2 linked regions of the Arabidopsis thaliana genome follow. The protein of the gene in region 1 interacts with the protein of each later gene in a pairwise test. Each region holds a gene or a part of one and is shown on either strand. Other genes may lie near its edges. The genes, in order: AT3G13680 and AT1G26650.

Evidence for each region.
Region 2: the proteins of AT3G13680 (region 1) and AT1G26650 interact in a protein complementation assay, tested with the Arabidopsis thaliana proteins (one large-scale study listed by BioGRID).

What each region holds. Positions count from the first base shown.
Region 1 is NC_003074.8:4,476,466-4,480,310, reverse strand, and holds AT3G13680 (F-box and associated interaction domains-containing protein), read left to right. Parts: upstream 1-1,559; 5' UTR 1,560-1,589; coding exon 1,590-2,777; 3' UTR 2,778-3,022; downstream 3,023-3,845. Other genes in the region: LDL2 (LSD1-like2), read left to right, coding at 1-332, 409-1,118; AT3G13677 (uncharacterized protein), read right to left, coding at 3,219-3,509, 3,704-3,754, 3,842-3,845.
Region 2 is NC_003070.9:9,208,298-9,212,227, forward strand, and holds AT1G26650 (Son of sevenless protein), read left to right. Parts: upstream 1-1,753; 5' UTR 1,754-2,037; coding exon 2,038-3,045; 3' UTR 3,046-3,291; downstream 3,292-3,930. Other genes in the region: AT1G26640 (Amino acid kinase family protein), read right to left, coding at 24-101, 188-223, 312-368, 453-514, 599-641, 722-819, 977-1,207, 1,412-1,469.

The sequences.
Region 1 (3,845 bases):
CACTGTGCCGCTTGGGGTCTTGAAGAAGAGATCTATCAAGTTTGAGCCGGAGTTACCTAGAAGAAAACAAGCAGCAATTGACAGGTTGGGGTTTGGCCTTCTGAACAAAGTTGCCATGCTTTTCCCATCTGTCTTTTGGGGTGATGAGTTAGACACGTTTGGATGCCTCAACGAGAGTAGCATCAACCGAGGAGAGTTTTTTCTATTCTATGCCTACCATACAGTCTCTGGTGGCCCTGCCTTGGTTGCCTTAGTTGCTGGAGAAGCTGCTCAACGATTTGAGTGCACAGAACCATCTGTTTTACTTCACCGTGTTTTAAAAAAACTCAGAGGTAATATTTGATAACGTCATGAACCTTTTGCTGCTTCCAAGTTCTCGCCATAACAATGTTTTTGACATAATTGTAGGCATATATGGTCCTAAAGGTGTTGTTGTGCCTGACCCAATACAGACGGTTTGCACTAGATGGGGAAGTGATCCTTTGTCATATGGGTCATATTCTCATGTAAGGGTTGGTTCATCTGGTGTGGACTATGACATTCTTGCTGAAAGTGTTAGTAACCGTCTATTCTTCGCTGGTGAGGCCACGACAAGGCAACATCCAGCCACAATGCACGGTGCCTACTTAAGTGGTTTAAGAGAAGCCTCAAAGATTCTACATGTTGCGAATTATCTTCGCAGTAATCTAAAGAAACCTGTTCAAAGATATAGTGGAGTTAACATAAACGTTCTTGAAGATATGTTCAAAAGACCCGACATAGCAATAGGGAAGTTGTCATTTGTCTTCAACCCATTAACCGACGATCCGAAATCGTTTGGATTAGTCAGAGTTTGTTTTGACAACTTTGAAGAAGATCCAACCAATCGTCTTCAGCTTTACACTATTCTTTCCCGGGAGCAAGCTAACAAGATCAAAGAATTGGACGAAAATAGTAATGAGAGCAAACTATCGTGTCTGATGAATACTCTTGGATTAAAGCTAATGGGTGCCAACTCAGTACTAGACACAGGTGGTGCGTTGATCAGTGTCATAGCTAACGCACGCAGAGGCAGAAGCAGGTCCCACGTGGTTGCAGGGCAATGTAACCTCCCCTTAAACCCCCTGCATTTTAATTGACCAATTGCCCCCTCAAAAGGTTCCTTGTTACTGTTTTTGGTAACTCATTTTTGCAGAGAAATCTGAACATGTCAAGAGAGAAGTTCAGATTCTCCACTAACCATCACATAAATTCTTCTCTTTTCTAATTTTTTTGTTGTCATTTTTGGGGGCGTTATTTTTATGTTTCTAAAACTGCGTAATTTATACAAACAATGGAAGAATGTTTCTGTGTATGGAATCGATGATGACGTTTGGAATATGCTGCAATTAGTGAACCAGATATAAACCAACACTAACCAGCAACAACCGAAACCAACCAAACTCCAGTAATATGGGCTCTAAAGATAAAAATGGAAGCTTCGGGATTAAGTAGAGTGTCTCTCAAGTCTCAAGGAACTTTAGGTTTTTTGTTAATAGAGCTTCTTCATCCACATAATAGAACAGCCTTTTTTAAGAACGTCCACACCTAAATTGCTGAAGCTTGAAAGAATGACGACCATGGGCGATCTTCCAGGCGATTTGGTAGAGGAGATACTCTCTAGGGTTCCGCTGACATCTCTGAGGGCTATACGATCTACTTGCCAAAAGTGGAACTCTTTATCGAAAAGTCAGATTTGTGGTAGAAAAGCAACAGCAGCAGAGAATAAGTTTCTGGGGTTTATGATGAAGGATTCAAGGGTTTGTTCAATGAAATTTGATCTCCAAGGAATCAGAAACGACGACGGGGAGTTGGTTGAGCCATCTATAAAGCAAGTAAGTAAACTCGATCAAATCGAGGTCTCTCAAGTTTTTCACTGTGACGGTTTAGTCCTATGCATCATTAAGGACAACACAGGGCTCTTGGTATGGAACCCTTATTTGGGGCAAACTAGGTGGATCCATCCGAGAAACAATTACCAGATAGAAGATAGGTATGCTCTTGGATATGATAACAACCGTAACCACAAAATATTGAGGATTTTCGATTTGTATCCAAGCAGCAACCGCGTTTTTGGGTACGAAGTCTACGATTTTAGCTCTAATTCATGGAAGGTTCTTGATGTCATTCCTGAGTGGGATATACAGTCTCATTTTCGTGGCGCGTCTTTGAAAGGGAATGCTTATTTTCCTGCGCAAAAGAAAGAAACAGTGGGAGGAATAAAGACAATAAATATTGAAGATGTTCTACTTTGTTTCGATTTTACAAGGGAGAGATTTGGACCGCCTCTGCCACTGCCGTTTCACTCTTACAATGCAGACTTTTTTGTGTCTCTAGCTTGTGTTAGGGAAGAGCAGCTCGCTGTGTTATATCAACGCTGGGGGGCATTTGAGACAATCGAGATTTGTGTTACAAATAAGATTGATCCCAATACGGTTTCGTGGAGCAAGTTTTTGATAACGTCCACTGGTTTTCCGGTTGACACTTTTTCTGGGAGCTTTTTCATTGATGAGGAGAAGAAAGTTGCTGTGGTTTTTGATTTAGATAGATATAAACCGACTGAGACCTGTCGCTACCAAATAGTTTATATTATTGGACAAGATGAATACTTCAAATCTGTCAACATGGGAGTTGCCCCAAATATCGCGAAGAACTCGTACCAAGCTTACTGTGTTCCACTTGTGTGCTCTTCTTCCTATGTTCCAAGCTTAGTTCAACTACAAATCAACAAACCGGGCAAAAGGAAAGAAAGTAACTAGTTCCATTTACACTACTTTTTATATTTTTCTTGCATCATCTTCTTTTGTTTCATTCCATTGACTTTGATGTTCTTTTGAACGATCATTAACTTGTGTTTTGCTATTTATCTGCTTATAAAGAAGTGGGGGGTTTTGTGATACAATCAGCTCGGCCTTTAACTAAAATCATACTAGTTGTTTAGATGTAGGAGTCCATATGGAAATAGATAGATAAGTTAAGAGAATCATTTACTGCCTCTGTTTATAAAAAAACACTCGAGGTATTGGAAATGTTTCATTTGTTTGATGGTTTGGTGGTCTGATGCATCGTGTTCTGTGTTTTGGTTTCTTAAACTCTTGAATGAAATTAGGCATAAATTTTGAGTCTTCCCTCAGCTTTATCCTTGAACAACCTTTTTAACATCTTGAATTTACCCATTTGGAGTACACAAATGCAACCATTCACAAACCTTCTCCCACATTCGCGCCAAGGACAATTCCACCCATGCCACGCTTATAGCTTAGCTTGGATTGCTCCCATCTCTCGCACTTCAAAACATAGCTTCTTTGAATGCAAGACCAATATACAACTCCATTCCTAACGATTAATGGGCGTCTCACTTCTTCTCTGAATGTGCCATTTACTTCCAATTTGAGCGACTTGTGGGTTTTCATCATCCGAGTGTCACTATCGGGAAATATGTTACGGCCTAAAGGAAACTCATCCCACAAACTGTGGTATATTATTCTCAACTTCAAACTCAAACCGTTTCATTGCATCCTCATCCAATTGATCAATACAAAGGGAAAACTAAAACATACAATTAAAACCAATAAACACCAACTTCTTAAGAAACTAGCTTGTTGCCATGTCATTAATCAACAAGCAATCTCGAGTAAAAAGTTATATTACATTAGTTCCTTATACATCAAAATCTGGATTTTACAAGGAGAGCTGTGTGAATAGCAATTCCAACTCCTTCTCTTGAGACAATGTTCTCTGTCCAACAAAGAAACATAAGTTAGTTAGTTTCAAAGGTGTTTCATATAGAGTAGTAATGTGAAGAAGAAGAGGATTGACTTACTTGG
Region 2 (3,930 bases), on another chromosome or scaffold:
GGTTTATACTATGAATAGGATACGAGAAAGACAACATATTCTGGCTTCAAATGATCTGCAAGATGACGGATGATAACATCACCACTCAATATGGTGCAGCCCTGTTCAGGACAAGATTTTCAACTGTTCAAATTCTAAACGGACAAGAATCTAGATAGCTATTTGGTATCTCTGGAGAGCATATTACCAGTATATTGTCCAGCACTGCATCTCCATGGAGAACCTGGCCATGACAAAAATTACTGTCCAAATTACAGTCAAGAGACTTTGGTAAACATCTACCTAATTTCACTGGTGGGATCAAAACTTACAGGGACAAATCCTGAGTCTATGGTTTTAGCTACGGTTGCTAGATCTGCAGAAGCCACCTAATGCAAAAAGCAGTCTCATTGAAATCTAAACCCACATGCTTCAGATCAGGAAATATGTTAAGAAGTTCAGTTAGCTCTTACATCTCTTTTGGAGGTTGACCAACCACATGAAAATGGAGACATGCCTATCGTAGGAATGCCCTCTGCAAGAGATCATAATGTTTAGCTTCAAAATTCATCTTTTCCTCTTAGCCAGAGTAGGAAAAGAGAATAAGCTTAAGAGATACCTCGGGCTAGTGCTCGTACAATTTCAAGATTAAGATTTGTCACCTGCAAAAAGAAGTTGTAGACTATCAGAACAGCTCAAGACTATCTTACGTAAGAGCATCAGATTTAGCTAACAGTCTCACAGATATACGAGTAGCAACGAAACCAGCTTTGACAATAGGTTTCTCAAGTCCTCCTTTGTGAACCCCAGATCTACTGGCCTGAAAGTGCCCAAAGGAACCTAATGACAAAAATCAGAACAACACATAAGAAACCCAAAAACTAAATAACAGCTCAACTAACACAAGCAGGTCAATGATCTGTAAGAGCTAAATCAAAAATGTATTTTGATCCTTCATTATAAGATTTAAGCAGATAAGAATCAATCTCCAACTAACCAGCGCCATGAACCACAACAAATTTACTAAACTCAGAAGACTTTTGATCCCCTATGTCATCCACATCACAAGAAATCTCAGAGCTTCCAGGTCTCTTGCTCCAATCCATGCCAATAACCTTGCTTGGAGCTGAACCCTCCAACATAGCTTGACGTAACTGACACGCCACGACCTCCAGATTTTCATCGTGAATCTTCTCCAGCTCGTTTTTGCAAGTAATTGCCGCACCTCCTATCAAATCATTTAGACATTCTGCTGTTACAAAGTCTAGACAGGTAAAATTGATGGGAAATGAATAAAAGACAGATCTTTAAAGTCTTTCCTCATCTTCGGTATTCAATAGTCAAATCAGAATCAAACCCATAAGACAGAACAACTAAAATGCGATCTAAGAATCGATCCAGCAAGTATTTTAATAGGGATCAAAAGACAAACCAAGTTTCACAATGCAACGAATTGATCTGCTTCGACTCTCGGAAATATTCAGCTCCATTGTTGCGTCTCTCTCTAAAGCTCTCGTCTTTAGTGGTCAACGGTATGTCTCTCTCTCCCGCTCTAACTCAACTTCATCGTACTCGTATCCTTCTTCTTGCCATTTCCCATTCACCGGAAAGATTCTCTCTTTTTTTTTTTTTTTTTTTCCATAGAAATATTCTTCTTTTTATTCCTCTAAAGAAGCCCATTAAGCTATTATTGGGCCTAACCAAATTGATCAATTTTTTCAAACCGGGTTTATGGTTTAGTGTTTTAAGGTTTCAGTTAAATTAGCGGTTTAGCTTCAAGTTCGCGATGGAGTAGAAGAAGATTACCTCCGACAAAAGCACGTTCACTTGTGCCACCGACAAAATTGGAAATCTTACATTTTTTGTTTTCTCTAATCAAAATTATTGTTGGAACGTAGACAAGATCCGTTCCAAGATTCGTCTTTTTTTTTCAATTTGATTCCTGGGTTATCTGAAAGATCTTCTCTTTGCTTCGATTTCTATCTCCGCTGCTTGTGAAATCAACCTTTATGGTATGTAATCTCGAACTCAGCTAAAACACACTTCACTCTCGGAAACATGGAGACGGAAACGAATCAGGTTTTACGGAAACCGGAGCTAAAATCATACAGTCACAAACAATTTCACTCCTCAAATGCGTTAGAGATCTTAAGAGAAACAGTTCGAATTCTCCGGTACAATCTTGGTGCTTTAATGTTAACTACTGCTGTTTTGATCTGTCCTGTCTCTGCTTTGCTCTTACCAAACTTTTTAGTTGATCAATCATTAGTGAATAAACTCACAGTGAAGCTTCTTTTAGTGGCGAAATCAAGTGGTCTTCCTTTGCAGCCTTTTGTCAAACATTCTTGTCAGAAATTCGCTGAAACTGCTGTTTCGTCTGCAATGTGTTTCCCTGTGTTTATCACTGTGTCTCTGTTGTCTAAAGCAGCTGTGGTTTACTCAGTGGATTGTTCTTACTCGAGGGAAGTAGTTGATATAAGCAAGTTCTTGGTTATATTGCAGAAGATATGGAGGAGAGTTGTGTTCACTTACGTTTGGATTTGCATTCTGATTGTTGGTTGCTTCACTTTCTTTTGCGTTCTTCTTGTAGCAATCTGCAGTTCCTTCTCTGTTCTCGGCTTCTCTCCAGATTTCAATGTTTATGGAGCTATGCTAGTTGGTTTAGCCTTCTCTGTAGTTTTCGCTAACGCGATTATAATCTGCAACACTGCGATTGTGATCTCGGTTTTGGAAGATGTTTCAGGGTTAGGAGCATTGATGAGAGCTAGTGATTTGATCAAAGGGCAGATTCAGGTTGGTTTGTTGATGTTCCTTGGATCAACTTTAGGATTGGCGTTTGTGGAAGGATTGTTTGATCACAGAGTGAAGAAAGTTAGTTATGGAGATGGCTCTTCGAGGTTATGGGAAGGACCTCTTTTGGTGTTGATGTATTCCTTTGTGACACTTATAGATTCGATGATGAGTGCAGTGTTCTATTTTAGCTGCCGAGTTTATTATAGTATGGAAGCTTCTAGAGGTGAAACTCAGCCAATCATGGAAACGGTTACGGTTGTGGATGCTGAGTAATGGTGCGTTGTGCGGATCAAACTCGGTGAATGGACATGGAAACGTATTAGCTGAAGAAGAAGTTGTATATCATCAAATGGGGTTTTATTGAGCACTTTTTGTTTCACTTTGAAACTTGATGCATCTTTAAGGTTTTTGTTATATATGGTTTCTCTGTTTACATTGTTTGAAGATTATATAGCATCCCAAGTTCGTTCATAGTTCTGCTCTTGTTTCTTTTTAGCCAGTTTGATTGAGTCTTGAAAATCTTGGGCGTAAAATAGTAAAATTAAAAAGTAGGTGGGCCTTTATGCAAGGTAATTATATTACAAAGGACTTGAAATTAAAACCAAAAGTAAGAACAAACCGGTTCGCATGGTTTAAATAATCTGTGCTCGAGCGGTCAAATTGTAAAACCACCAAATAATTCTTCGTCTCCCTCACCGTCGCGGCGTCGCCACTCGCCGTCACAACCACCGTCGTTCAACATCACTGTCACCAAAAGAATCACCGTCGTTCGGTCGTGACGTGTCTGGACCTATTTCATCTCTTTGCTCGTGACTCGTGAGTCAAATACTCTTGGACCTTTGCTGTTATCTGTACCTCTAATTTTGTGATTTTCAGATTCCTTCTCGTTTATCGAGTTGGATTCTCTGTATTTGAATGTATTTTTGATAGGGTTTCGTTTGGAAACCAATTTGATTCTCATATTTAAAGTGTAGTTACGTGGTTTGTGTTCTCTCTTGGGGATGTTCACCACCTGTTCGATGAAATGCTTCTACGTATTAGTTTGATGCAATTTCTGTATAGTTTCGACGCTCTCCGAGCTTGTATTTAGATATTGATGGTTAGGTGACTCTAGATTCTGAAACGAACATTTCAAGGCTCTAGAAACTTATTCTGGAC